Linked DNA regions of Oryctolagus cuniculus. The protein of the gene in region 1 interacts with the protein of each later gene in a pairwise test. Links are inferred from orthologs where the notes say so. Each region holds a gene or a part of one and is shown in the gene's direction. Other genes may lie near its edges.

The links.
Region 2: the proteins of RABAC1 (region 1) and DUSP12 interact in binary tests that used the Homo sapiens proteins (3 or more experiments, as listed by UniProt). The two-hybrid records come from large-scale screens. The link is inferred for Oryctolagus cuniculus from reciprocal best matches to the Homo sapiens genes RABAC1 and DUSP12.
Region 3: the proteins of RABAC1 (region 1) and LNX1 interact in a two-hybrid assay, tested with the Homo sapiens proteins (2 studies listed by BioGRID and IntAct). The link is inferred for Oryctolagus cuniculus from reciprocal best matches to the Homo sapiens genes RABAC1 and LNX1.
Region 4: the proteins of RABAC1 (region 1) and SNX15 interact in binary tests that used the Homo sapiens proteins (3 or more experiments, as listed by UniProt). The two-hybrid records come from large-scale screens. The link is inferred for Oryctolagus cuniculus from reciprocal best matches to the Homo sapiens genes RABAC1 and SNX15.
Region 5: the proteins of RABAC1 (region 1) and SNX10 interact in binary tests that used the Homo sapiens proteins (3 or more experiments, as listed by UniProt). The two-hybrid records come from large-scale screens. The link is inferred for Oryctolagus cuniculus from reciprocal best matches to the Homo sapiens genes RABAC1 and SNX10.
Region 6: the proteins of RABAC1 (region 1) and RAB33A interact in binary tests that used the Homo sapiens proteins (3 or more experiments, as listed by UniProt). The two-hybrid records come from large-scale screens. The link is inferred for Oryctolagus cuniculus from reciprocal best matches to the Homo sapiens genes RABAC1 and RAB33A.
Region 7: the proteins of RABAC1 (region 1) and NDRG4 interact in binary tests that used the Homo sapiens proteins (3 or more experiments, as listed by UniProt). The two-hybrid records come from large-scale screens. The link is inferred for Oryctolagus cuniculus from reciprocal best matches to the Homo sapiens genes RABAC1 and NDRG4.

What each region holds. Positions count from the first base shown.
Region 1 is NC_091449.1:12,583,515-12,587,595, reverse strand, and holds RABAC1 (prenylated Rab acceptor protein 1), read left to right. Parts: upstream 1-1,339; 5' UTR 1,340-1,480; coding exon 1,481-1,536; intron 1,537-1,809; coding exon 1,810-2,022; intron 2,023-2,126; coding exon 2,127-2,224; intron 2,225-2,887; coding exon 2,888-2,989; intron 2,990-3,067; coding exon 3,068-3,165; 3' UTR 3,166-3,286; downstream 3,287-4,081. UniProt on the Homo sapiens protein: General Rab protein regulator required for vesicle formation from the Golgi complex. May control vesicle docking and fusion by mediating the action of Rab GTPases to the SNARE complexes.
Region 2 is NC_091438.1:37,037,491-37,041,324, reverse strand, and holds part of DUSP12 (dual specificity protein phosphatase 12), read left to right. Parts: intron 1-1,893; coding exon 1,894-2,055; 3' UTR 2,056-3,834. UniProt on the Homo sapiens protein: Dual specificity phosphatase; can dephosphorylate both phosphotyrosine and phosphoserine or phosphothreonine residues. Can dephosphorylate glucokinase (in vitro).
Region 3 is NC_091439.1:110,430,572-110,434,405, forward strand, and holds the end of LNX1 (E3 ubiquitin-protein ligase LNX), read left to right. Parts: intron 1-2,629; coding exon 2,630-2,788; intron 2,789-3,165; coding exon 3,166-3,301; 3' UTR 3,302-3,731; downstream 3,732-3,834.
Region 4 is NC_091432.1:6,508,575-6,512,306, reverse strand, and holds the end of SNX15 (sorting nexin-15), read left to right. Parts: coding exon 1-130; intron 131-2,018; coding exon 2,019-2,267; intron 2,268-2,482; coding exon 2,483-2,589; 3' UTR 2,590-2,963; downstream 2,964-3,732. Other genes in the region: SAC3D1 (SAC3 domain-containing protein 1), read left to right, coding at 3,588-3,732. UniProt on the Homo sapiens protein: May be involved in several stages of intracellular trafficking. Overexpression of SNX15 disrupts the normal trafficking of proteins from the plasma membrane to recycling endosomes or the TGN.
Region 5 is NC_091447.1:18,011,494-18,015,848, forward strand, and holds the start of SNX10 (sorting nexin-10), read left to right. Parts: upstream 1-1,267; 5' UTR 1,268-1,434; intron 1,435-4,355. UniProt on the Homo sapiens protein: Probable phosphoinositide-binding protein involved in protein sorting and membrane trafficking in endosomes. Plays a role in cilium biogenesis through regulation of the transport and the localization of proteins to the cilium.
Region 6 is NC_091453.1:107,847,858-107,852,196, forward strand, and holds the start of RAB33A (ras-related protein Rab-33A), read left to right. Parts: upstream 1-1,482; 5' UTR 1,483-2,293; coding exon 2,294-2,551; intron 2,552-4,339.
Region 7 is NC_091449.1:41,762,862-41,767,159, forward strand, and holds the start of NDRG4 (protein NDRG4), read left to right. Parts: upstream 1-1,259; 5' UTR 1,260-1,377; coding exon 1,378-1,414; intron 1,415-4,298. UniProt on the Homo sapiens protein: Contributes to the maintenance of intracerebral BDNF levels within the normal range, which is necessary for the preservation of spatial learning and the resistance to neuronal cell death caused by ischemic stress.

The sequences.
Region 1 (4,081 bases):
CTGGGCCATCCTCCACTGCTTTCCCAGGCCACAGCAGAGAGCTGGATCAAGAGTGGAGCAGCCAGGTCTCGAACTGGCGCCCATATGGGATGCCGGCAGTGCAGGTGGAGACTTTACCCGCTACGCCACAGCGCCGGCTCCTTGAGGCCTCTTCCACTGTTTTCCTAAGCATATTGACAGGGAGCTGGATGGGAAGTGGAGCAGTTGGGACTCAAACCATTGCCCATATGGGATGCTAGCGTCACAGGCGGTGGCTTAACCTGCTGTGCCACAATGCTGGAGCTGACAGCTCCTTTAAACACACACACACACACACACACACACACACACTTCTGTTTAGGGGCCAGCGCTGTGGCATGGTGGGCTAAGCCTCTACCTGTGATGTCGGCATCCCCTACGGGTGCTGGTTCAAGTCCTGGCTGCTCCTCTTCTGACCCAGCTCTCTGCTGTGGCCTGGGAAGGCAGCAGAGGATGGCTCAACTGCTTGGGCCCCTGCACCCACGTGGGAGACCCAGAGGAAGCTCCTGGCTCCTGGCTTTGGATCGGCACAGCTCTGGCCGTTGTGGCCATGTGGGAGTGAACAAGTGGACGGATGATCTCTCTCTCTCTCTCTCTCTCTCTGTAACTCTGTAAGTAAATAAAATACTAAATAGCAACAAGAACAACAAGTTCTCTTAGGGGAGAGGGCCATTAGCCTAGTGGTTAAGGCACCTGTGTCCCACCTCGGAGTGACTGGGTCTGGTTCGGGTTCTGGGGCCCTGGGAGATGATCGGGCTCCTGGGTCCCGTGTGGGAGACCTGGGTTGAGTGGATGGGAGTTGTGTGTGTGTGTCTCTCTCTGAAATAAATGTAAAACATAAAGTAAAATTCTCAACCCTCTCCTCAACCCCTCGTGGCTGTCGCGAGTGTTACCCTACTCACCCCGGGATCCCTGGGAGGGGCCCGCTCCCCACCTCTCGAGGACGGAACGGACGCCCACAAATTCCCTGCAACCCTGGGGCTCGGTATGCGGCCCGCGGGGGACTTGATACAAAGGCGGATTTCATGGCCTGCAGTCCAGACTGGCTGAGTCGGAACATTTGGGCCCGAGGCCTAGGATTCAGTGTTTAATCAAGCCCGCCAGGGTACATTTTTATGCCTTCTAGAGTCAGGACGACAGCCCCGCACGGTCCCCACTGGACCCTCCGAGGGAGAATACACAACACTTAACTCCCCACCTCCCACTCCTGAAACTACAACTCCCACAATGCCCAGAGAGACCACAACTCCCACAATGCCCTGCGAGCCAGACTGCCGTCATGGCGCCCAGTCGCCCGTCGGGACTACAACTCCCACAATGCTCGGGGAGCAGAGCTCCTCCCCCAGCGGCGCCGACGCGGAGCCACGTCCGCGCCGCTGGGTGAGGCCTGGCACCGGCGGGGCCCGAGGGGTCTGCAGGGCCCGGGGCCAGTTACAGCGGTTCTGCCCTTCACAACGTAGACATGGCGGCCCCGAAGGACCAGCAGAAGGAGGCCGAGGCCGAAGGGCTGAGCGCCACGTGAGCGAGCCCGCTGTAACCCGGGGGTGCCGGCCCCGGCCTCCTCTCCCCTCGAGTCGCGGGGGTCCTGGCCCCCGGACACCGAAACGTCTTTCTAGGACGCGAGTCCGGTCCCCCGGCCCCTTCCTCCCCCGGGATCCAGGGGAAGCCCCTCCCTGCCCCGCCCCGGCCCGCCCCAGGGCCCAGGCGCCGGCCCTCCCCTCCCCCCTCCGCTGGTGTCTGGGAGGGGTCGGGGGTCCCGGCTCACCGCTGCCCCCCCCCCCCGCCCTCCAGGACCCTGCTGCCGAAGCTCATTCCGTCCGGCGCCGGCCGCGAGTGGCTGGAGCGGCGCCGGGCGACCATCCGGCCGTGGGGCGCCTTCGTGGACCAGCGGCGTTTCTCGCGGCCCCGCAACCTGGGCGAGCTGTGCCAGCGCCTGGTCCGCAATGTGGAGTACTACCAGAGCAACTACGTGTTCGTGTTCCTGGGCCTCATCCTGTACTGCGTGTGAGCCGGCCCGCCCCACGCCCAGGGCGCCCTGGCCTCCGCCCGCTGCGGCCGGGCCCGGGCCCTGACCTCCTGACCTCCGCCTCCCTGCCCTCCTCCTCCAGGGTGACGTCGCCCATGCTGCTGGTGGCCCTGGCCGTCTTCTTCGGCGCCTGCTACATCCTGTATCTGCGCACGTTGCAGTCCAAGCTCGTGCTCTTCGGTGAGAAGTCACCTCCTGGCCTCTCGGCTCGCAGACCTCGGCCCCCAAGTCCCCGTCCCTGGGGCCTCACCCGAGCCTGGCTCTCGGGATTCCCGCAGGCCTGACACAGCTGGTGTCCCAGCCTCAGCCCCCGCGTCGCCCTCGCTCACCCCCTGGCTAAGCCCCAGCCCTGCCCCAGCCGCCGCGCCCTCCCCGCCTCTGCGGGAAGCATCGCTGCACGTCCCCACACGGGACACCAGGTGGCGCCCTTGCACCGGCCTGGCCCTCCCCACCTGTCTGCGCCCCGGGGTGGGACCGGGGAGGTCTTGGGGCTGCTTGGGGAGGGGAGTCCAGGCCGTGCCTCCTGCTACCGAGCAGAACTGGCAGGTTGGGGGGCAGCCAGGGGGTGGTCGGGATCAGGGAGCCAAGGGCAGGGGGGCTGGGGTTGGCAGAGCGGGGAGGGGTCCCTGAGGAAGCCCAGCCACACCCTGGCCTCGCCAGGCTGCAGGTGGCGTCTCGGCCGTGTGAGGTTCTGTCCATTTGTGTCCTCCACCGGCTGAGACTCGCCGTTGGAAGCTGAGCTGGGAGCTGAGGGAGGCGGTGGGGACGCTGGGGGCCGGGCAGGGGGCAGGGGCCGCTTTGGGGGGCCGGGTGGAGGCAGCTGCCCATGCCGTCTGCCCGCAGGCCGTGAGGTGAGCCCAGCCCATCAGTACGCCCTGGCCGGAGGCGTCTCCTTCCCCTTCTTCTGGCTGGCTGGGGCCGGCTCCGCTGTCTTCTGGGTGCTGGGTGAGTGCCGGGCCGGGGTGGCGGGGTGGCGGCGGGGCCGGGCCAGGGGACCCGCCCTGAGCCGCCCGTTTCCCTCAGGGGCCACCCTGGTGGTCATCGGCTCCCACGCCGCCTTCCACAAGGTGGAGGCTGTGGACGCGGAGGAGCTGCACATGGAGCCCCTGGAGCCCGTGTGAGGCGTCAGCGAGGCCCCCAGCCGGGCGCCCACCCTTGCCCACTGCCCACCGCCAGCACGTGCCCCATGTCGGGGGTGGCTTCCTGAAATAAAGCTGTGACGCTGTCACACAGCACGCGGCCCCCAGGTCTCCTGTGACGTCACTCAGCACAGGGCCCCCGGGTCTCCTGTGACATCACTTGGCACGCGGCCCCCAGGGTCTCCTGTGATGTCACTGGCACGCGGCCCCCCGGGTCTCCTGTGATGTCACTGGCACACGGCCCCAGGGTCTCCTGTGACATCACTGGCACACGGTCCCCCGGGTCTCCTGTGACGTCACTGGCATGGGGCCCCCCAGTCTCCTGTGACGTCACTCAGCACAGGGCCCCCAGGGTCTCCTGTGATGTCACAGGCATGTACCCCCGGGGTCTCCTGTGACGTCACTGGCACACGGCCCCCAGGGTCTCCTGTAACGTCATGGCACGTGGCCCCCCGGGTCTCCTGTGACGTCACTGGCACGCAGCCCCCCAGGTCTCCTGTGACGTCACTCAGCACACAGCCGCAGGGTCTCCTGTGACGTCACTGGTACGCGGCCCCCCGGTCTCCTGTGACGTCACTGGCACGCGGCCCCCCGGTCTCCTGTGACGTCACTCAGCACAGGGTCTCCTGTGATGTCACAGGCATGTACCCCCGGGGTCTCCTGTGACGTCACTGGCACGCGGCCCCCCCAGTCTCCTGTGACGTCACAGACACGTGGCCCCTGGGGCCTCCTGTGACGTCACTGGCACGTGGCCCCCCTCCGGGCGGTGATGGAGACCAAGATGGAGGCGGTGGTGACAGGAGCACACACGTGGACACTGCAAGGAGTCGGGCAGCGCTCAGGAAGGGAGGGGACGCTGAGGGTCTCACCAGGACGAGTGGGGACGTGGCACGTGGCC
Region 2 (3,834 bases), on another chromosome or scaffold:
ATTAATCATATTCCAGGCTGACATTCAAAATGCTCATACAAATTTAGTTTTCACCAACAGTGAATATCTACCCATTTCCTCATACCCTGGGCAAGTTATATATAAAACTGGTGAAGTTTTGTCAGTCTGTATCATGAAAATATTAATCTTACGTTTTTCATGACTACAGCCGAGGATGACATCTTTGCATTTACCAGCCATCTATAGTTGCTTTTTATTTATTTATTTATTCGAAAGTCAGAGTTACACAGAGAGAGGAGAGGCAGAGAGAGTGAGAGAGAGAGAAAGAGTGGTCTTCTATCTGATGGTTCACTCCCCAGATGGCCGCAATGGCCGGAACTGCACCTATCCGAAGCCAGGAGCCAGGAGCTTCTTCCTGGTCTCCCACTCGGGCACAGGGGCCCAAGGACTTGGGCCATCTTCCACTGCTTTCCCAGGCCACAGAGCTGCATCAGAAGAGGAATAGCTGGGACTAGAATTGATGCCCATATGGGATGCCGGGGCTCCAGGCCAGGGCGTTAACCCGCTCAGCCACAGCGCCGATCCCCCCCCGCCCCATCTATAGTTTCTTGTTGTGTAAACTGCTTTACCATCCCTGGCCTATTTTCTATGAATTTTCTTACTCTTACTGATTTGTAGGAGCTGTGTATATATTCTAGATGTAGATGCTTCATTTAATAAATAGAATTATTTTCCCTAGTCTATTACTTATCTCAAATTTTTGGTATATTTTGTAATAAAATTTAAGATACTGTGTAGTCTATTTTTTCATTTGTGGTTTCTGGGCTTTAAATCTGGACTTCCTGTAGTTTAATATTAAAAGCAAAAATTCCTACTTCCTACCATGTACAAATTATAGAACTAAACCTAAAAAATGTGATAACTGCACTGAAAGAAAATACAGTTTACTAAAGCTTTGATTTATCTGTTTTACTGGAATATCAGTTGATTGTTTTTAAGTCACTAGGAATCTGACTTACATGCTATCATTATCAGTAATAAAACATGAGAATCCTAATAATCTTTTCCATTCTTTATTCATGTTGTAGTTTTTTTTTTTTTGAGATTTTATTTATTTATTTGAGATGTAGAGTTACTGACGGAGAGGGAGAGATAGAGAGAAAGGTCTTCCATCTGCTGGTTCATTCCCCAAATAGCCACAGCAATCGGAGCTGGGCTGATCAAAAGCCAGGAGCTTCTTCCAGATCTCCCATGCAGGTGCAGGGGCCTGAGTACTTGGGCCATCTTCTATTGCTTTCCCAGACCATAGCAGAAAGCTGGATTGGAAGAGGAGCAGCTGGAACTAGAACCAAAAGAGAGAGATCTTTCATCCATTTGTCTACTCCCCAAATACCTGCAACAGCTAGGGCTGGGCCAAGACCCCAGAATCCAATTTGGATCTCCCACATGAGTGGCAGGGACCCAATTACTTGAGCCATCACCTGCCTTCTAGGGTACCCATAACAGGAAGCTGGAATTGGAAGCAGAGGTGGCACTCAAAACAGGCACTCTGATGAGATGTGGCTGTTCTAAGTGATGTCTTAACCACTGTGTCAGGTGCCTGCCCCTACACGTTGATTTAAAAACCTAGTATGTATGCCACATTCTTGAAGCCATCCTTGAGTTTCAAATGTCACCTTTCTCCCCTAAAGCTGGGATCCATCTGTTCTTCCTCTAAGCTGCCCGAGTACAACATACTTCTTAGGCAGTAATTGTAGTCCACCATCTATAATACAGCAAATTCCTCATGTATTTAATGTCACCAATTAGAGTACAAACTCCTTGAAGATAGGGGCCATGTTTGCCTGTGCTTATATCCTATATTGCCAAAGAAAATTATTTGTTTTGTATAAAAGTGAATAAATGAAGTAATACATTGGCTTTTTATTTCAGCTGCTTTGTCCAAAATGCAGTGCCAAATTGGGTTCCTTCAATTGGTATGGTGAACAGTGCTCATGTGGAAGATGGATAACACCTGCTTTCCAAATACATAAGAACAGAGTGGATGAAAAGAAAATGCTGCCAGTTTTGGGATCACAAACAAGAAAAATATGAACTTGTGACATCTGCTATCTTGGAAGGAACCTTGCTGAAGATACATGCTGCCCCGGCTTTCAGTTACTCACTGCAGGTTGTCTAGTTTGTAGGCCATCAACATTTCAATTGCAGTGTGAAAGGGAAAAATCCCATGAAGTAACCTAGAAACTGCCCTGTTATTAGGTTATTACGTGATGTAAGTAGAATACATAGCAATCAAAGTTTTTTAGTCATATAAATTTTATATGATAGTAAAATCTTTTATGATACTAACACTTCATTTGTTTCATGTTTTTAAAAGTCATGATTTATTTATTTAATTTGAAAGGCAGACAGAGACAAAGATCTCCCATCTGTTGGTTTATTCTCCAGATGCTTGCAGTTTCTGGAACTGGGCCAAGCCTAATCCAAGAGCCAGAAACTCAATCCATGTCTCCCATATTAGTGGCAGAATCGTCACCTGCTGCTTTAGCCTACATTTGCAGGAAGATGGAATAGGAAGTGGAGCTAGAACTCAAACTGAGGCGCTCTGATACGGGATGGGGGAGGTCTCCTATGGCATCTTAACCACTATGCCAAATGCTGCCCTGAAACTTAATTCCAGTTTTCCATGAGTTTTTTGAAGTACCCTCGTATTTTGAAATTTTGCTTTCTCTCTTTTAAGGGAAATTAGTAAGCCTATTTATGTCTAGATTTTTCTTGTAAATGTAAAAGAAAGGCTATTAGTAAAACAGAATATGTTTTTCTTGTTCAGAAATTCCAATTATCTGCAGGTTTTTTTTTTTTTTTTCTTAAGTTTATTTATTTGAAAGGCAGAGTAAAACAGTGAAAGATAGAGATCTTCCATCTGCTGGTTCATGCTTCAAATGCCTATAGCAGCTGAGGCTGGGCCAGGATGAAGCAAGGTGCCTGAAACTCCATCTGGGTCTCCAGCATGGGTAGCAGGGACCCAAGGACTTGAACCAGCACGTGCTGTGCATGAGCAGGAAGCTGGAAGTAGAAGCATAGCCAGGACTCATCCAGGCATTGATACAGGATGGGTAGCTTAACCTACTGTGCCACCGTGCCCACTCCAATAAACATTTTATCTACATTTTTAGAAAAGTGTGTTTGAGATACCTCTTAAAGCAATCTACATAAAGAAATACTTTAATGTTAGATGTGTCTTAATAATCAAGATTAATGTGGAATTACATGTCAGTTACTCTTTTAGTCTAATACATTTGAGTATTGGAAAAAGTAATAAATCTAGATCAACTTTGTAACCTGATTTCTGGAAACTAGAATTGTACTCACTATTAATAGGGCAAATTGGACCTAATTTGGTATTTTGAACATATACATGAAATCAGAATTAGCTAATAAAGAGAAATATGTGTCTGTATTGTAAAAACTAAAATGGGAATAATTTTTCAATGTAAAATAAGGTGTAAATAATGAACTTCTTAGTATCTAGAATAGGGACTGGCCCTGTTGCATGGTGGGTAAAGCTGCCACCTGCAGGGCTGACATCCTGGCTGCTCTACTTCTGATCCAACTCCCTAATAATGCGCCTGGGAAAGCAGCAGAAGATGGCCCAGGGTCTTGGCCTCTTGCAACCACATGGGAGACCCAGATGAAGCTCTTGGCTCCTGGCTTTGGCCTGGCCCAGACCTGGCCATTGTGGCCATTTGGGGAGTGAATCAGTGAATGTAAGACCCCTCTCTCTGCCTCTGTTTCTCCCTCTCCTTCTCTGTTACTCTTTCAAATGAATAAATCTTTTTAAAAAAATCTAGCTTAATTTTTGACATGTGTTGT
Region 3 (3,834 bases), on another chromosome or scaffold:
AGGCACAAGAAAATAAAATAAAAAAAAAAACCTCCTTTGTTCATGGGTTGGAAAAAGTGTTTAAAATGTCGGTTATGCAAAGCAATTTTACAGATAAAATGCAATCCTCACTCTTGCAGTAGCACTCCTCATAGAAAAAAAACCCTATAATTCTCTCAGAAAAACAATAGACTGAAGAGCCAAGGCAAGCTTCAGCAGCAACACTGGAAGCATTACGATGCCTGATTTCAAGACAGATGACAGAGCTACAGGAACCAGAGAGCACGGTACTGGCGTGAGAACACACACACAAATGGGACAGAACAAACGACAGCCTCTGCTATTAATGGTGCTGGGACAACTGGATATCCACATGCAGAGAGCTGAAACTTGACACATGCACACAACCCACCTCTCAATCACTATAAAAATCAACTCAAAATGGACCAAAGAACTGAAAGTATTAAGTTACTGGAAGAAAACATGGTGAAAGTATTTCAAGACTACAATATAAGCAATGCTTTTGGAGGTAAAATTCCAAATGCTCGGGCAAAATTAAGGCAAAGACAGACAAGTGGGATTCCATCAAACGAGGAAGCTCTGCGCAGCAAAGGAAACAATCAGTGTTGTGAGGACACAACCGACAGAATGACAAAGAATATTTGCAAACTCTTCATCTGACAAAGGAGTAATATCCAGAATACGTAAGGAACAAAAAACTTAACAAAAAAAGTGCAATTTAAAAATAGGCAAAGGATCTAAAGACAGTTCTCAAAAAAGTAAACACAGATGGCCCACAAATAGAGGAAAAAGTGCATGGTCATTAGCAGGGAAATGCACATCCTAACAATGAGGTGTCGTATCGCCCCAGCTAGAACAGCTATGAATGCTAGCAGTATGCAGACGAGAGGGAACTGGGACACACTGCTGCAAACTCGCAATCTTCAAGCAGTGCAGGAGGCTCCAGCCATCTGGCTGCTGACATGTAGCTGAAGACAATGACATCGGCACGTGAGATACTGCACTCCCACGCTGACTGCAGCACTATTCACAACAGCAGACACGAATCAACCTCGCTGCCCAGAGACGGGTGAATGGTTTAGAAAATGCATGGTGTATGCACAATGGAGTATTATTCAGCCACAAAAAGGGGAAGTTGTGTCATCTGCAGAAAAACGCACAGAACCAGGGGCTACTAAGTGAAGTACCCCATGTCCTCCCCAACACGTAGAAGCTAAGCGGAGGAGTTGACCCGGATGTAAGGTCATGGTTCCGAGGCTGTGACCTGGGAAGGTCGGTGACAGGTAGCAGAACAGTGACGGAGGATGCAGTTCTGGTGTTGCTCAGGAGCACGACTGCAGGGACCAGGAACTACGAGGAAGGAGGCCCAGAGGGAGCAATGAGGGTATGTCACAAGGGTGACAAACAGGGACAGTTTCAGGTCCTACTCCATGAACCTGTTGTGTCTGCAGACTAGGAGCATGACCTGGGAAAGGCATCTTCTAATGACTTTCCAATCCCAGACGCTGGGCACAGGGTCTCCCACAGGGAATGTCATTGCCTTGGTGTCGGGGGCTAGGCACGGACCTGCTCCGTGCACAAGCACTCAGTAAGCTATTAAGTACAACATGGTATCTATCCCACACACCACGGCTTCTACAGGCTGAAGTCATCAACTGACATCAAAGTTTCTTGTGAAATAGCAGGTATTTGACAGTAAGTCGTTTTCTCATTTAATGACATTCATGTTTTTCAGCTATCGAATTATTATAAATGATATGTAGGACAACAGATACAAAGCACTACATTTTAAAGGTATTCATTAAACCTCAGAGGTGGTTTTACTTCAACTGAGTATTGGCAACGTCGTGAAAAAAGTCACATTACCCTGATTAGCAAGATCGGTAACAACTGTAACGAGCAACTTCACTTATTCACAAGAGACTTTTATTGGTTTTCAAAAAGCAATGTTATTTTAAGGTACAGTTTATAAACAGTAGTCATATCCTGATTTTTGCCAACATGAAAACGTGTTCCTCTCAGGAGTTCATGGACTACAGCACACATGTGGCAGACACAGGAGTCCTGGCGAGCAGGGAGCCAGTGACCAGGGAGAGTAGCAGAATGTGCCCAGCCTCCCTCCCTGGTTGGCTGAGGCCTCCACCCACCCACCCACCCACCCACCGCAGGGCTGTGCGCTCTCCTCCCATCCCTCCAGCAGCTGGTTTCTCAGCGTCTGCAGTTCCGCTTTCCTGAAGGTGCAATCCCACTCACATTCCGCCTGCACACTTCTCAGTCACCTACCAAACATGCAGAGCCCGATATGCACTAGAGCTTTCCGAAGGTCAAGTACACGCTAACAAAGTCATTCATTACACCTACATTTTCTTGATTTTAACGATTTGTTCGAAAGATTTCTGCCTTCATTAAAAATTTATACTCAGGTAAATAAAAATATGATGGTCATAATGTTTGCTGTAGCCAGCTGTAGCATAGAGGTTGCTGAGCTAGAAACACACTTGGGCGGGAGCTGTCCAGTGTTATTTAGCCTTAAGAAAATGCCAGCAGAAGGAATGGGATACAGGCACAATACTCCGTCTCCAGCCGTTACACTGAACTGTGCATATCCTCCAATTCTGTTCTATCCCAGGTACTTGTATCACTGCAAAGATGTCGCACTACGCAGAAACGCGGCAGGCAGCCTGGGCTTCTGCATCGTGGGAGGGTATGAAGAACACAGCGGAAACAAGCCTTTCTTTATCAAATCCGTGGTGGAAGGCACACCAGCGTACAACGATGGAAGGATCAGGTAATAAAGACAACTGCTGCACAGAGAGCTTACATTCAGGTCCTTTGCTTCAGACACACAATACTGGCCCCATCTGAAATAAGGGCTCTTCCTTTTGAGGGGAAGGGTGGGCAAGAAAATAAAACACTTGCACAGCATTTAACATAAAACACCCCGATGATCGATCGCACGTGCTCTCGGCCCTACACTGCAGGTCGCTCTACCTTGAGCACCCCTTTTAACACAAGCGGAATGACTAGCATGCTTAAAGAATCTAAGGGGGGGGGAGACCCTTAAGTAATCAAAACCAAACAAATCTAGCAGAAATGAGGCCACCAAAATCAATCTGCATAAACTTCAGCTAAGAAACCAAACATCCCTCCTGCTGCCTTGTTCAGGTGCGGTGACATTCTCCTCGCAGTCAACGGCAGGAGCACAGCAGGAATGACGCACGCCTGCTTGGCTCGAATGCTGAAGGAACTCAAAGGAAGAATCACCCTCACTCTGGTGTCCTGGCCTGGCACATTCTTGTAGCATCAATAACGGGTCAGAGAACATGACACACGGGCTAAGCTGGAACAATGTATTTATCTTGTCAATTTTTATAGTGAACGAAAACTTTGTGAAAATGTCAGAGAAGGCCTAATCTAATAAAGCCAATTGCACCTCAGAAAATAGGACTCTCAAAAAATAAAAACTACTACAGAATGGTCTGATCTAGGATGCAGCACTGCACTGTACTCCTTCATTTGTATTTTGTGCTCAATAAAACGCTCTCGAGCACCTGAAATGGTTTGTTAGGGCCCACCGAATTCAAATCATCAACTCAAATGCTGGTTCAGGCTGAGATCAGCAAAGGGTACGTTACGGGCATTTTTAATTTAAAGCAAGAGGATTTTGAAAAATGCATTCATTGCTAAAAACATTCAGCAAATGAGAAATAAATATTTTTCCACAAACCATAGCCGCCTTTTGTATGTGATGCTAATTCTAAGTTTCCTTCTGTCAGCACTATTTCAAAGAGCCGGCAATCTGCTCTTTCAAATACCAGGTCATCTGTTTATGTG
Region 4 (3,732 bases), on another chromosome or scaffold:
TCCAGCCCCGCCCAGGAGGCCCTGGATCTCCTCTTCAGCTGTGGCAGCCCCCAGGAGACGTCGGGGACCCCCACCCGGGGCCCACTCACCGAGGCCGACCTCGCCCTCTTCGACCCCTTCTCCAAGGAAGGTAACGGATGGGGACGGCCAGAGCCGGGGTGTCTGGGGCCGAGGCTGGTTCACTTTCTGGGGCTGTAACAGGGGCCTAAGGTGGGCACTGAGGAAGCGAGCCGATTTCACTCACGGTGTCGGCAGCTGCAGGTCCGAGACAGGGCGGCCCCGTGTGTTTGGCCCCAGTCAGGGCCTTGTGGCAGATGGTGTTATGGTATGACCGACAGGCATAACGGGAAAGCCACCTTGCCATGCCGACATCCCATATGGGCATCGGTTCGAGTCCCGGCTGCTCCACTTCCAATCCAGCTTCCTGCTGTGGCCTGGGAAAGCAGTGGAGGATGGCCCAAGTGCTTGGGCCCCTGCACCTGTGTGGGAGACCTGGAAGAAGCTCCTGGCTCCTGGCTTCGGCCTGGCAGAGCCCCGGATGTTGTGACCATTTGGGGAATGAACCAGCGGATGGACACACTCACTCTCTGTCTCTCTTTCTCTCTCTCTGTAAGTCTGCCTTTCAAATAAATAAATCAATCTTTAAAAAATAAATGAAGACGATCCCATGGTGAGACAGGAAGTGAGAGCAGCTCAGGGCCCACTCTGTAAGGCCGGCCTTCATCGCCTCTGGGGTCCGTGCCCCCAGCACCCAATCCCCACACACCGCTGTCTAACTCTGTGTATTTATTTGAAAGTCAGAGTTACACAGAGAGAGAGAGAGAGGTCTTCCATCCGCTGGTTCACTCCGCAACTGGCCGCGACAGCCAAGGCTGAGCCAGGCCAAAGCCAGGAGCCAGGAGCTCCATCCGGGCCGCCCCCGTGGTAGCAGGGTGCACGCGCTCGGGCCATCATTCGCTGTCTCCCTGGGCACATGAGCAGGGAGCTGGACTGCGAGCCAGGACTTGACCAGGCGCTCACACGGGTGCCGGCCTCCCAAACAGCAGCCTGCACCTGCTGTGCCGCAACACCAGCCCGGCCCCCACCTCTCCAGGCTCCACCCCCCGGTGCTGCCATGGGGACCAAGCATCCAGCACAGGAACCTCTGGGGGGGCCCTGTGACCGCATCCAGGCCACACCAGCTGCCAGCAGCCTGCGGGCCCCTCTGTGGTGCTGCCCGAGGCAGCAGGCAGCCTCGGAGCCCCCGTCATGCCGGGGCTCAGGGTGGGGCCAGCAGGTACAGAATGTGGGGAGGAGGCCGTTCACCAGCTGGACTCGCGCCCGCCACCTTCCAGCGAGGTTTGCAGAGTCCGGGCCCTGCGGTTGGAAGCCGCAGGTGGGGGTCCCGGCCGGCTCAGGGTCCAGATCCTGAAGGCAGGGGAGACCCACCGGCCGGCAGAGGTAGGGCCAGGGCTCAAAGGCCTTCTCACCCAACCCGCCAGCCTCGCGGCCTCGCGTGAACGCTGCAGGGACGGGGTCCGACCACCTCGGCGCCAGTCCTGCAGGCGTGCTGAGCCCCTCACTCGGGACAGTGAGGAGACCCCTCACCCCCGTCCTCACCTTTGGGCTAAAACTGTGAGACCTCGCAGAGCCCTGCAAGTCACTGAACCCGCCGCTCCAATGCGGGGACTTCGGGCTTTTCCGTCCCCGGCCTCCTGCCGTCGGCCCAGCCGCCTTCCGTTAAAACGCTGGGTTTCAGGTCAGCCAGAGGCAGCGGCAAGCAGGACCAGGGACGCAGAGCTTGGAGACCACGGTCCGCGTGCTCCTAAAGAGCCAGTTAGGACAGCAAGGCTGCGGGCGAGCGCAGGAGCCGCACCCGTTAAACAGACCCGGCTGCTCTGCCCTGTGCCCGCCCGGGACTGCTCCCCTCCCCTGGGGACAGGGCGGCGCCCTGGTGTGGGGTGGGCAGCAGGCCCCGGGAAGGGAAGGGCCTCCTGGCCTGAATACCCCCTCTCCCCTCTCTGACTGCATAAATTTAGGTGCAGGCTGCAGCCCCACCAGCGCAGGCGAGCTGGCAGCGACCGAGGCGGAGGCCACGCAGCCGCAGGAACCCTGGGAGCCAGGAGGGCAGCAGGGGGAGGACCCGCAGGGAAAGCCCGTACCCGCCTACGTGAGCCAGGCCACGGAACTCATCGCCCAGGCCCTGCGGGACGAGAAGGCGGGCGCCTACCCGGCCGCGCTGCAGGGCTATCGGGACGGCGTGCACATCCTGCTGCAGGGGGTGCCTGGTAAGGGGCGGCCTGGGGTCCCGGCCGAGGGCAGCGCAGACGTCAGGAGTCCTCGCCCCTGGGCGGCTGGCTCTCTCGGGGCCTCCCTGTTCTCATCTGTGCAATGGGAGATAGGCGCTGGGTCCAAGGGGAGGCAGCAAGGCTCAGCGGGTCGCTCTGGGAACCGTAAGGGGCTCGGCCAGGGCCGCTCAGAGGAGCCACTGTGTCGCCCCCAGGTGACCCATCCCCTGCCCGCCAGGAAGGTGTGAAGAGGAAGGCGGCTGAGTACCTGAAGCGGGCGGAGGAGATCCTGCACCTGCACCTGACCCAGCTCCCGCCCTGAGGGGGCGCACCCTCCCCGGGACTCCAGCTCCAGCACTGCCAGCCTCCCCGGCCCCTCCCCCAGGGCCTGGCCCTCCCACCGGGCCGTTTCTGTATGCGGCTGCACCAAGAATGAGAACGAAAGGATGAATTCTGAGCTGCCGGAGTGTGGGGGTCTGCTTGGGCCCAGGGGCTCGCGCTTGTGAGCCCATCCGACCACTGGACTGTCAGGTCACCCGTCTGGCCCCGGGCTCTGCCACCCACAGCCCGGAGCCACACATCTCGTGCTAAATACTGAGATTTTTTTCCACTTTTTAATGGTTGGGGGAAAAATAACAGGCAGGTGAAGATTACATGCAACGTAATCGTACATAAATAAAACTTGGCGGGACCCAAGGCTGCACCTGCGGGGTCACCTAGCTGTTGGGTGGCGCCAAGGGCAAATCCACTGCCCGCCTCGCAGGGAGGGCATTCGGGCCCCGGCGCTACCTAGTGGGGGAGGGCCGTCTCCATGGCAACAGTGGAGCAAGGCCGGCACAGCGCCCTCATTGGGTGGAAGGGATGATGGGGAGGGGCCGAAGGCGGGGCTATCCGTTTGACAGGGGAAGACAACTGGGAGCGCGGAGGGGGCGTGGCCTCGTGCCGGCCGCGCTTGGGGGCGTGGCCCGGTGCCGCCCCTCCTGCGAAGCGATTGGTTGCGGGCGTGTCAACAGACCGGTGCATGCTGGGAGTGCCGAGGCTGAGCGCCGCGCCGGGAGCAGGGCGTTAGTGCTGCTGGAGCTAGCGGAACGGTGGGCGGTGGGGCGTCGTGGGCCGCGTCGCGGTGCTGTCGCCGGGTCGGGTGAGGGGACGGTGGTGGGCAGAGCCGGAAGCGGTGGCCCGACGGGCGGGCGGGGAAGCGGGTCCCCGGCTCGGCACGCCCCCTGCTGCCGAGCCCACGCCGGCCTCGGCGTAAGGTCTCCCGGAACGGGCGAGGGGCGGCCGCGGTGCTGAGCGCGCCCCTGCTGCCCGCGGCCCACCATGCCCGCCTGCGAGCTGCCGCTGGGTACGTGCCCGGACATGTGCCCGGCCGCCGAGCGCGCCCAGCGCGAAAGGGAGCGCCGCCTGCACCGCTTGGAAGTGGCGCGGGGGTGCGGCGGGGACCCGCCCCGCGCCGACCCGCGGC
Region 5 (4,355 bases), on another chromosome or scaffold:
GAGCCCAGGTCAGACCCCAAACTGTTCCCCCAAAGGACCCCACACTGAATGTCAGCTAAGGATGCTTCTAAACGCCTGGCCGCCACTGCGGGCCACCAGGGCTACTCCCCACGACACAAGCCCTTGCTTCATCTTGAGGGAGTCTCACTTCTCCAGCCTGGGCCGTGGCCAGCTTCAGCAGGAAGTAGTTACAAAAGCACCACTTCCTGCCTTTCCCCTCCCTCCAGAATGGGAGTGAAAGGTCTCAGGGAGCATTTTGTGGCCAAGAATGTAGGATTTAGGGGAGGAGGGCAGAACTGGGACTGGGGCAGAGAGCACCAGCCGCCTTGAGCCTGTTTTCCCAAGCTACCAGGGGAGCTTAGTTTGTTACAGTGAACTGGGAGGGCAGGGCCGCCACGAACAAGGAGCCACAAAACTGCAAGATGCTGCTCTGAGTCCGAGTCTGCAGACCCGAGCTGAGCTTTGCTTCCAGGATTAAATTCTCCACCCGGGGAGAGACTGCGCCATTTCCCGACATGGGGACGCCCGTGAGGAGAAGCCCGGGAATCTGCCCCTCACGGGGGTCGGTTATTTCGGGGGCTCCTGCTGTCTCCTTCACTTCTCCCAGGGGAAATAAAGTTTTCCTCTGCGCACCGCTGACCTCAGACTGATCATCTGGGGACACCCTGAGCGAATGGACGCTCACTGTGGACACACAGACGGCGCGGACTTTCCAGCGGACTGTGCGGGGCCCCCAAGGTGTGCACAGCCAGGGCCACTGGGGAACTTAAAGATGAGGCGGCGCTGACCATGGTGTCCTTTCCTCCCCCACCTCAGGGGCAGGGATTGGGGGAGACCCCGCCCAAGGTGTCATTTCTGAAATACGTTCCTGATTCAGGCCCTTTGGCACTCTCCATAGCCCGTCTCTTAAATATCAGACATTTTAAACGTTAAAGTCGGCATTTGCAGCCCACACGCACGCCCCCCCAACCCCGAGGCCCCCTGCCAGCACCCGCCCGCCCCTCCCCGCAGCGCGCACACAGCTGAGGGGCCTGGGTCCCGGCTCCAGCTGGCTTCCAGGGCCCAGTCCCGCGCTGCTGCTCCCACAGCGTCAGCTCCAGCGCTTGGGGGGTGGGGGCGGATGAGCAGCGGCTGTGGGGACGAAGGTCGCGGGCTCCGGGCTCCCGGCGCCGCCGCAGCCCGCCGGGGTCCGCCTACGGGTCAGAAGCCGGCGGGCTGAGACGGCCCCTGGGCGGGCGGCGCGGGAGGCGGAAGCAGGAGGCCGAGCGGCCGCACACGGGCGGCGGGCGCTGGGCGCGGGCGCGGGGCCGTTACGTGCGCGGGGAGCGCGGGGCTGCGCTCGCGTGCGTTCCTGGGCGCTCGCCGCCACGCCTTTGAGTCAGCAAAGTCGGCGCCCGCCGTCCGCCCCCGGCCTGCGCTGCTCCAGGACAGCGGGTAAGTGACGGCCGACCTGCCCAGCTCTACCCGCACGGTCGCGGTGGGGACGGCGCCCTGGCCCAAGCCGGCCTCCCGTTCCCTTCCGAGTTCGCGGGACCCTCCCTGCGAGCAGGTGTCGGCCCTGCCGGCTGAGAGAGGCGCGGGCTCCCCGATTTTGATTTTGAGCGTTGCCTCCTCTGGCCGAGGTGTGCGGGGCGGGGCGCGGGTGCGGGCGCGGCGGGGGAGGAGGTGATGCGGGGCTCCTTCGCTGGGGAGGGGGCTGGGCCCTGTTGATCTTGCGGTTTGCCTGGAATGACCCCCGGGAGAGGGTGAGGCAGAGGCCAAAGCTGGGTTTCAGAAAAAGTGCTGGCCCCTCGCAGCAGCAGCGGGGTTGGGTGGGCACTGGAAATTCCTGGCAGCCGGCATGGACACTGGGAGTGGGGAGCGGCAGGCAGGGTCTTTTCGGGGCTGTGGGATGAGGGAAGCGGCCTCGGGGAAAATCCACAGGGACAGAGCTGCAGGGCCAGTGACAGGAGGAGGCACAGGCGGCCGCTGAGCTGTGGTGGCGGCAGACTCTCCCAGAGGCACGGGGGTCGCCGAGGGTGGGCGCACTGCACAGCCACGTGTCTGCTGGAAGGGAGGAGCGGCTGCTCCCCAGACGCGGGGACGCGCAGGAAAATGGGCGCAGACGTTCAGAGCGACAAGGAGGCTCCCGCGTGGTGTCCATCACCGGGGAAACCGAGGTGCGGGGAGGGAGGTGCCCAGCGCAGGTGCAAGCTCTGCCCCCACTGCAGAGCTGGGGTGAGGGTGGGGTGGGAGGGTTCCCCCCCCTCCCTGGGCAGTGGGCTGTGCTTGGGGAGGCCCAGGTGGGCTGGGGCTCCTGGCCAGGAGGATGGGGGTGAGGGGAGGTGAGTGCAGCTGGGTCTTCCTGTTTCTGAAAGCCATGGCAGACTTGACAGTGACTGGAGGCTGTTTTGAAGAAAGAGGGAATTCAATGCTCTTGAAGTAGAGGTGAGGCACTAAGGTCTCCTGTGAGCCTGGAGCCCGGAGCTGAGTGCCCTGGGCAGCAGTCAGGCCACTGCCTTCTCCTGCTGGCTCCCCTGGGGCCTGGGGAGGGCCTGGTGTGGACAGTGGGTCTTGCTCAGGCCCCAGCACCCCTCAGGGGCGGGGAGGGGTAGGGGTGACCCGATGCAGCTGCCTCCTCCCCAGGGCCCTGGGCCGAGCCTCATCTGGCCCCTCGGTCATGAGGTGTGGTCTGCTCCATTAGGTTCATAAAAGCAGAAATGCACACCTCCTTCTGCAGGCAGCCTGTAGGGCAGCAGCATAGGGCACCGTGGGCCACAGCAGTGAGCTTGACTGTGGAGCCCCTTGCTGATCTTTCCCAGCCCTGGCCTAGCCCTGCTCTCCCTCTGGGGATTCCTTTGCTGCTTAAGCCATGGGGGAGGGAGGAGCTTCTTTCCCTCTGGTGTCCGGGCTGAGGTGGAGCAGCTGGGGAAAGGCTGAGAACTGGCTACAGACAGGGCCCAGTCTACTCAGGCTTTGGTTTCCAAGAGTGGCCAAGGAGGGCTTTTGGCTGGGTTCGCGGTGCACTCCGTGGTAATTCCCCAGATTTTCGGTTGTTGTCTCCAAACATCTTTCTCTTGGTCATCGGGGAGGTGTGAGTTAGCTCTAGGTTCTCCAAGGCCTGTTCAACAAGCGGGTGTCCTCATGCAGAGACCAGATACGACTTCTGGTGTCAGACCGTCCCAGTGGAAGCCTTAGCACAGTCGTTTGCTAGCTGAGGTGTTGTTGGCAGCTTCCAGTTTCCGTTGTCTTTTATTCAGAAGTAAAAGGGAGGTGGGGTAGGCACGTGTTTAGTGAATTCAAACGAGTTCCTGAAGCCTGAGGTTCTGTGCTGCCTATGTCTCATGGAACACAAGGCCGCCTCCTGGCCAAAGCTTGATATTCCAAGGGAAAAAAGAGGCCTGATAGGTCATGAGACCTTTATTAGTTTAGGCCTCGTGGCTGGGTGTTGGAGCGCCTGGGTGTTGGAGCGCCTGGGTTCCGAGCCTGTCACCTTCCCTCTCATAGACACTGGAAGGTAGCAGTGATGGCTCATGGGACCGGGTTCCTGCCGCCCGTGTGGAAGAACCAGTTCTTGTCTTTTTCCTGGAGCTGTAGCAGGTTTTGGGGAGTAGGCCAGCAGATTGGAGCTCCGTCTAAAAAAAATGTTTTTTAAAAATTGATAACAATCGGCTGGCACCACAGCTCACCAGGCTAATCCTCCGTCTGCGGCACCAGTACCCCGGGTTCTAGTCCTGCTCAGGGCACCGGATTCTGTCCCGGTTGCCCCTCTTCCAGTCCAGCTCTCTGCTGTGGCCCGGGAAGGCAGTGGAGGACGGCCCAAGTGCTTGGGCCCTGCACGCCATGGGAGACCAGGAGAAGCACCTGGCTCCTGGCTTCGGATCAGCGCAGCACACCAGCCGTAGCAGCCATTTGGGGCTGAACCAACGGAAGGAAGACCTTTCTGTTTCTCTCTCTCTAACTCTGCCTGTAAAAAAACAAAAACAAAAACAATATATGACAACCCCTCTCCTCCTTAATTGTTAACTCCAACAGCCTACCTTAATGAGGACTTACTGTGTGCCAGGCACTGTGAAGGGATTTTATGTGTCTGGTTCCCTAAGCCTCAAACAAGCTTGTGGTGCAGATCCTATCATGTCTGCTTTTTACATCTGGGGATAGCAAGCCATCCAGCCATTTGTGACTTTTTAAATCTCAGCTCACAGTTTTAACCACCCTGCAAATTTGTCCCAACATACTCTAGTAGTCAGTAGTTTTTTAAGGCTTAGTGTGTGGCTCAGATGGAGCTCTAGGCTCCTGATTTTGATGTGGCCCAGCCCTGGCCATTGCAGCCATTTGGGGAGTAAACCAGTGGATGGAGAGCTCGCTCTCTCACT
Region 6 (4,339 bases), on another chromosome or scaffold:
GTGGCTCAAGTACATGCATCTTGTGTCTCTGCAAACCATAGGGGAGACCTAAATTGAGTTCCTGGCTCCTGGCTTCAGTCTGGCCCAGCCATGGCTGTCTGGCTATTGTGGGCATTTGGGAAGTATTGGAAGATTCTCTCTCTCCCCCCCCTCCCTTACAAATAAAGTAAGTTTACAATTTACAAAACCACAGAGGAGAATGACCCAGCAAACTATTATCTAGATATCAGAATCAGAAAACCAAAGTACTCTACAGTGATGATCCATACATGGTATTATAATTGATATTCAGAATGATGACTTTGGATTAGCCAACTAAGATTAAAGCCTTCTTTAATGGTTTTAATGTTGAATAGTATAATCTCAGATTTTAGAAATGGGTGATCAAATTGGTATATATATATATTTGAAGTTTCTATAGCTTAAATTTTAAAGAAAAATTAAAAATTAAATAATTTGAAATAGAAAAAATGTTTGACCTACATATATGCTATAAGGGTTAGCTGTAAATATATCTGCTAACTCAGCTAATAGGCCTATTAGCTAGAGATCTTGTTTTGAGTAACTTGGACTTGGTTGAGTAGTCCCATTCCAGCTTACTTACAGATATATTCACTGAAACCCTGACTTGGTTTTCTTTTAATGGGAATGGATTTAGGCACATTTGCGTCTTCCTGCAGCTCTGCTTCACACACAAACAAGATGGAAGCTCACCTGTGCCACATGAACCCTTGACTGATGGCATTAGCAATAACTCATGTGCCGGTGCTCTGCTATTGCCTATGAAATATGTTGGGGGGGATGAAGTATTAAAAACGAACAGAAATGGGTTCACTGTATTGTATGTAAATTGTATCTCAGTAAAGTTGATTTCAAACAAAATCTGAACCTTCAAATCATTTTGGAGAGAGGGATGGTGCCCTCTAATAACGTAAGAAAGTTGTGTTCATTTATCATCTTCCAAGCATAATCTAGGCTTCTGGCAAATTAGACCCAACCACTTGGTTCTACATTCAGCTGCAGGGGGGTGAACCCGCTTAGAGTCCCAACTCCCTTTGAAACTCCATTATTCTGGAAGGACTTCTGGTTAAGCGGAGGGCTGGGGAATAGAAGACATTTTGGGGTTTATGCCATGTCTCAAGATCCCTCCTCCTCGGGCCTGCAGTGGTCAGCCCCAGAAATAAAGTCCTCTTTCGCTGGAGCTGCCACTGCTAGCTTCCCCCCTTCTCCTACCCTCTATATGGCCCTCTCCCGCCGGCAGGCCTTCCCCATTGGCCAGCCAAACACAACCGACCGCGACAGCCAATGAGAGCTGCTCTCCTGAACATTCAGAGGATGGGTGCTCGTGGTGTGATGAGGGGAGGTTGGCGCCTGGTACGCACCCCCTACATCTGGCAAATCTGTGACAGACACAGTGACACCCTCTACACACGCACACCCTCGCCCCCCGGCTTCCTCCTCTCAGCTGCACGGGGCTCCCCACAACCCACTGCGTGTCTTGGTAGCACCCTCCCCAGCTCCTCGGGACCTGCAAGTGCACCTGCTTACTCAATAAGACAGAGCATCTCTTTATTCCAAGGCTGGGCGGGGAGCAGGGAGCGCCGAGGCGCGGCTCAGCTGCCTGCTGCTTCTGAGGCGAAAGAGGTGTCTCCGCCCCCACCCCACCCCGCCGAGACGTGTGGCTCCGAGGCCCAAGTGCCCCAATGATGCCTTAGGGTGCAGTGCTCTTTGTCCTCCCTAGCTGTGCTTCCCTGCTGGCTGATCCCGTGCGCTCCGAGCAAAGCGGGGGAGGGTGGCGCTGGGAGCCGGAAACCTACAACATAAATGGGCGCAAGGAGAAAGGAAGTCTATCTCGGGGTAGTGTGTGCTGCTCTCCCCACCTCTCCCTTGCCTCCTTAGGCTTCCTCCCTTGGTGTGTCCCTGGAGTCCAGGCAGGGGAGGGTCCCACGGTCGCGCGCCCCAGCGTCCCATCTGAGGGCACGCGCCGGCAGACGGGGAAGGCTCTCCTCTCGCCCACCCCTCTCCATCTCCTCCTCTCCTTGGCTTTTGTGTTGGTGCCTCGGAGCTGCAAGGAGGGTGCGCTGGAGGAGGAGGGAGACCTGGGGTGTGAGGCACCCCCTTCACGCGCGCGCGCGCACACGTTGCCGGCGCACGCACACACGGGCGGACACACACTCACAGACACGCACACACACGCACAAAGCTCGCTCGCCTCGAGCGCACTAACGTGGCCACCGTTTTCTTTGTGTGGAGCCCTCGAGGGGGGTTGGGGCCCCGGTCCGGTCCCGGGGAGATGGCGCAGCCCATCCTGGGCCATGGGAGCCTGCAGCCCGCCTCTGCTGCTGGCCTGGCATCCCTGGAGCTGGACTCGTCGCTGGATCAGTACGTGCAGATTCGCATCTTCAAAATCATCGTGATTGGGGACTCCAACGTGGGCAAGACCTGCCTGACCTTCCGCTTCTGCGGGGGAACCTTCCCGGACAAGACTGAAGCCACCATCGGGGTGGACTTCAGGGAGAAGACGGTTGAAATCGAGGGCGAGAAGATCAAGGTGATCCAGCTGGTCAGGTCCGGGAAGGGAGGGATCTGGGAGGGGGCCCCCGCCTCACGCAAGGCTCTAGGGGCTGTAAATGTCCAGCCTGGGGCTGTGTCACGGTGTGCTGAGCCCAAGACCCCAGGCCCCTCCTCATCCTCTCCCTTAACAGTGGCTCTGTCTCCACTTCATCCATTTTTTTTTTTTTTAGGGCAAACAGGAGTGGTTGCATTCTCACCCTTTCCCCCTGCCTGACAGCTCCTGTCAGGAAAAGCGTGTTTGATCTCATCCTTTACACTGAACGCAAGCAGCGGCACCTGTGGGCCCAGGGAGGCGTGGGGCATTTCTCTATCCTGGTCTGTCAGATGGATCCCAAAGCACTTTATACATCTTGAGGTTTCTTCTACCTCCTGAGTGCCAATAGGCTGCAAAAAAAAAAAAAAAAAAAAAGGCTAAGCCCTGAGACATTAGAAAGGTTGTGGAAATGCATGCTTTATTTTAAATTGCAGTTTATAGTTTATTAGGACTGAGTTGGCAGGGATGGGGGGGGGGTGGAGTGGAGGCTGATTCTGGCACAAAGCCAGGAGTCCTTTTAAAGAAATTGAGACAGGGTCACCTGCTGGCCCTCCATAATAGGCAAAATGTGGCCTTTGGAGCAGTCCCTCTGCAATGATTTTCTCTCTACTTGTCTGCAGTACGTCATGAACGGACTGCCCACTACTCTCTACTCTTTCTGTTGGTTTCGTCTTCAGGAAGTCTTTGTGGAAAATGCAGGGCAACTTATTGAGGGCCAAGGGAAGTGCCTTGGTCCTTGTCCCCCATTAGTTTCTAAAATGGGCTAAATAGGAATATTCTTGTCTGACCTTTTTGCGTTCACCTTTGCTTCAGAAAAGGTAGACACTCAATAGAACAGGCAGATATGAATGTGCAGGGGGCCACAGGAGAGGACACGGCAAGGACAAGTTCACATGTCAGGGAAGAAGGGGGAAAGATGATGGGGAAGGAAGCCCCTGAAAAGACACCGGGGACACTGAAGACCAACTCGTCTAGACTTTAAGTTGGCTTTCTCCTGAGTCTGTGCTTGAACTCTAGACAGGGTCACGGTGTAGGTGGAAGAGCCAAAGTGGCCCCAAAGCCCTTCTTCTGTGTGATGTAGCGAGAAGGGCCGAGTAGCAACTGAGCAGAGGGAAACACCCCAAACTGTGCAAGACTCCTTGACTATTAAAATGAATGCATTTAAAATGGCTGCAGATGGGCATCTGTATAGACTGATAAGGGAGCACCTTATGGCCAGGAAGAGAGAGAGCATGATTTGGAAATTCTGAACTATTTTGCTCTTTGCATGGTGCAAGGGAATGGCTACTTTTCTTTTTAAAGTCAAGGTAGGTATTGGTCTGCCTTCCCCGAAGCTCTTGTCTTCATGTTTGCTTGGTTGGGATTTCCTCTAGTATGTCTAGGTTCTTTAATATAAGGCTGTAAGATTTTGGAATTGCTGAAATGAATCTTTTGTGTGTGTGTGTTTAAGGTAGAAATATGTTCCTGGATGGGCTCCTAAATCCTTAAAAACCTTAATGTTTAATGCTATCATTTGTTTAAAAATCAAGCATTACAGTGAGCCATCTGAAATTTAGAGGGAGGAAAAACTGTTCCGGTGTCTAGGGGAGAAGGGAGGAGGCAGGATGAGGGGGGAGAAGAGGAAGCTGGAAGTGGGCTATGAGAGGTAGAGGGGAGTCACCACCCAACGGCCTTGGGGAGATTTTAAGCCATTCCTTCCCTTGCAACACCCCTGTACTTAGCCTAACTGGA
Region 7 (4,298 bases), about 29 Mb from region 1:
TGGCCCTGCGCACGCCTCCTGCACCCAAAAGCGTGGCGTCCAGGACGTGCTGGAGCCCGAAGGGAACCTGGGTCTGCAGGACGCGTGTCTTGCCCAAACAAACGCTTTCAGGGCATCAGATTCCCTCGCTCCCCGGCGTGTGGGCCTCGGTCCAAGGCCAAGGCCCTCCCTTTTAGGGGTGGGGGAGGGGCAGCAGGTGGGAGCCGCTGCGTCGGGCGGAGGAAAACCCGGGACTCCGCGGGACGAACGCGGGGGAGAGGGTACCTCGCCGCACCCCGGGCGGGACCGGCAGGGCCAAGCACAGCTTTGCTAGGAGCCATCCACTCCCGCACGCGTTCTCCCAAGGAAACCCTGGGCTCCGCAAACCGGACGACGCCCCAGAGAGCCCCGGAACACCAGGCTCTGCCCGGTCTTCCAGGCCTTCGGGAGTCTAAAAAAAGCCCCAGGCAGGGGCCGCCCCTCCCCCGGGAACCCGACGTCGCTGACAACAGGCCTGCGCTCCGAGAGGCCGGGACCCGCAGAGGTGAGACGTGGAAGGGGGTGCGGACCCGCAAGGGGTCTCCGCCGGATCTGCGGGTCGTGGCGCCTGGCTCAGCTCCCGCCGCGGCAGGAGCGCAGTGGGCACCTAGTGCGATCCTAGGCGCAGCAGCCAGGCCTGGCCCCGCGCGACTGAGTGCCCACGCCCCCCCCCACACCCACGTGGGCCCGCCCCCGCGGCGCGCCGCCCCCAGCCCCGGCCTCCGCTCCCGGCAGCGGCGCAGGGGCTCCCGGCTGCAGGCGCCTGCACCGCGCGTTGGCGGCGGCGGTGCCGTGGCCCGGCTCCCCGCCTGCGCGTCTGTGTCTCCCGCATCACCTCGGTGAGTCTGCGGCGCCCCCAGGTCGCCGCTCCCTGGTTGTGGCGCGCGCAGCCCCAGGCTCCGCGCACGACCCCGAAGGAGCGCCGCACCTTCCCGGCCGAGCCGCCTTTCTGCTAAGCGAGGACAGCCCCCTCGTCCCCACCCAGCCCCGGCGCTCCCTCCTTGCCTTCCCCGCGGGGCACGGGAACCCCCTGCGCCACCAACCGCGCCCCGCGACGGCCGGGGGCGGCGGGGCCTCTTTGTTCACCAGGCGGGCGCAGGGCCCCTCCCGCGGTGTCGCCGGCCCCCTCCCCGCGCGCTCTCCCCGCCTCCCGGAGTTCGTCCGGACCAGGTGGCGGCGGGCGCCTTTTGGGGGTGCGCGGCCGTGCAATTGGTGGATTTTTTCGCACGGGTTTGGCGGGGGAGCGCGGCGTGGGGGGCGGCGAGAGCGCTCCTGCTGCTGCTGCTGCCGCCGCTGCTGCCGCTCGGCGCTCGCCTTGCGCGCTCCCCGACGCCACAGCCCGGGCCGTGCCGCGCCGCGATGAGGGTGCTGGGGCACCGGCTGGAACTGCTTACAGGTATCGCCGTCGCCGCTTTCCGGGTCGGAGCGGGCTCCGACCGCGGTACCCGGGGGTTGGGGCGCTCGGGTGCGAGCCCGAGGGGTGCGGATGCCAACTAATTCCCAGCTTGTGCTCTACCTGCTCCTGGGCGGAGCCCGCCCGGCTCTGCTGAGAGTGAGCGAGACGGCCTCTGGGGTCCCTGCCCGGCTCAGGGAAAGGAGCTCGGATCCCCTGCCCTCCAATCGGGGCGGCTCACTCCCCAAGAAAGGAGCGCCCTGGACTCCGGGCAGCACCCGTGCCGCGGGCGTCTCGTGTCTGCTCCCTGTGACGGTCCTTTCTGTAGGGGGAGAAGTTTCTTGACCGTTATAGAGGCCAAGTGGCCTGGGATCCTGGTGTCTTGGGGGGCCCTCTGGGGAAGTGACCAGATGCTATGCTGGAGACCCACAGGAGCGTTGGGCTGTGCCGGGTGAAGCGATTGGGACTGGCCGCCCTGAACTGGGCGGGGGGGCTGGACAGTAACACCCCGGCTTCCGTGTGCGCCCCCGGGGAGGGGTGACTGGGAGGGGGGAGGGGGACACTCGGGAGTTCCCCGTCCATGTGCTGCAGGAACGCATGTGGCTTTCAGTAAATGTGTCTGGCACCTGGAAGTGCGGTTTCTGCCCTGGAGGACCTTACAGCACTAGAGCCGGGTTGCAGGCAGGGAGGGGCAGGGAGCAGTCAGGGCACTGGAGAAGAGGTTGGAGCCTGAGCTAGGGCGGGGGGGGGGGGGGGGGGAGCCGGCGGGTGAGAGCAGGGGTGGCCTTGAAGAGGGACTCTGTGTGTGACACAGGGGTGGGGTCATAGACTTGAGGCGTCCAGGCGGCTGCCCTGGTGTGAGCGAGAGGCTTGAGCTGGGAGGGATGTGGAGCTGGAGATAGTGGGGGCAGGGCAAGGGGCAGGCTCTAGGCTGTGCATTCCCAGGGCAGGCAGGGCCTGGGAAGTGTGGGCTCAGAGCCCGCTTAGCCACAGCCAGCATCTGTCATCCCTCATCAACTTTGCCTTGGCGAGCTCTCTGGCTAGGGCAGGCCCAGCCCACCTGCCCCGGAGAACGGCCCAGGTGCTGGACTTAACCCCTGCCCGGGGCAGGCTGTGAAGCCCCATGGAGACGGAACTTCTGGGTCCTTTCCGCCTCCCCTCCCTGCTTCCACAAGACCTAGAGGAGAAATGCTCACGGTGGGCACGTGGGGGACCCGAGCTTCAGGGCCCTGGGTGCAGCACCTCTCCTCCCTTGTCAGATGGGCTCACCTGCTCCACCAGACTTGCTAAGCGGCTGGCCAGGCGGAAACAGGACCCTGCCTGTCACTGTCGGTCCCAGGCTCCCTCTGACCTCTAACCCCGGGCCTCAGCGCACCCCCTCTGTGGCTGTTCGACCATCTCTGCAGCCCTCCTGTCTGCCTCTCCATCTCCCAGTCTTGGATTTCAGTTCCCACCACTCACTCGCCAAGGTTAGCTCGCCTCTCTGGCCTCAGTCTTCTGCTCTTAAAGGTGGCGTTCTCACCGCCTTCTAAGAGGTGGTGTGCGGTTTGCTGAGATAGCACAGGCCACGCACCTGCTGGGAACAGGCCTCTCTGGCTTTATTTCCCCTCTGATTGCGCAGTCTTGGCTGCCCCCAAAATGGAGAACTCCATGTGTCCTGGCTGAGGAGCCACCGGGGATACTGGATCTGCCCCCAGCCCCTTAACCTTGCTCACATGCAGCTGTGAGAATTTGACCCACTGGGGAAGGTAAGCAGGTCACAGGGTGGCTGTTGATTGATTGTAGTGGCATACAGCAAGTGCTTAATAACTGTTGACTGAGCCCAGGCTGGCATAGCCTGTCATCAGCAGTGTCTCCAGGATAACTTTTTTAAAAAAAAAATTATTTATTTGGGGGCTGGTATTGTGGTGTAATGGGCTAAAGGACTTGGGCCATCTTCTGCTGTCTTCCCAGGTGCATTAGCAGGGAGCTAGATTGAAAGTGGAGCAGGTGGGGCTGGCGCCGTGGCTCACTTTGTTAATCCTCTGCCTACAGCACTGGCACCCCGGGTTCTAGTCCCGGTTGGGGTGCCGGATTTTGTCCCGGTTGCTCCTCTTCCAGTCCAGCTCTCTGCTGTGGCCCGGGAGGGCAGTGGAGGATGGCCCAGGTCCCGCACCCTGGGTGGGACCGGCAGGGCCAAGCACAGCTTTGCCAGGAGCCATCCACTCAAGCCAAGCCATCCACTTGGGCCCTGCACCCGCATGGGAGACCTGGGAGAAGCACCTGGCTCCTGGCTTCAGATTGGCGCAGCTCTGGCTGTGGCAGCCATTTGGGGGGTGAACCAACGGAAAGACCTTTCCCTCTGTCTCTCTCACTGTCTGTAACTCTACCTGTCAAATAAATAAGTAAAAATCTTTAAAAAAGTGGAACAGCGGGGACTCGAACTAGTGCCCATATGAGATGCTGGCATTGCAGGCAGTGGCTTAATCCACTACACTACATTGCCAGCCCTTTCAGGATAATTTTGTAGAGGACCTGGGACTCCCTGCCTGCACGTCAGCCTTACAGAATTGTTTAACTGAAGCAGCTTTTAAAAACTCTGATTTGTCTGGTTCTCTCTGGTTTTCACAATCTCCTGTTTATTAAGACCATTAAAAAAAAAGGATGTATTAATTTGAAAGGTAGAGTTACATATGCACACACACACACACACACACACACAGAGGGAGGGAGGGAGGGAGGGAGGGAGAGAGGGGTCTTCCATCTGCTGGTTCACTCCCCAAATGGCTGCAACAGCCAGGGCTGGGCCAGACTGAAGCCAGGAGCTTCCTCCAGGTTTCCCACATGAGTGCCAGGGCTCCAAACACTTGGGCCATGTTCCACTGCTTTCCCAGGCACATTAGCAGTG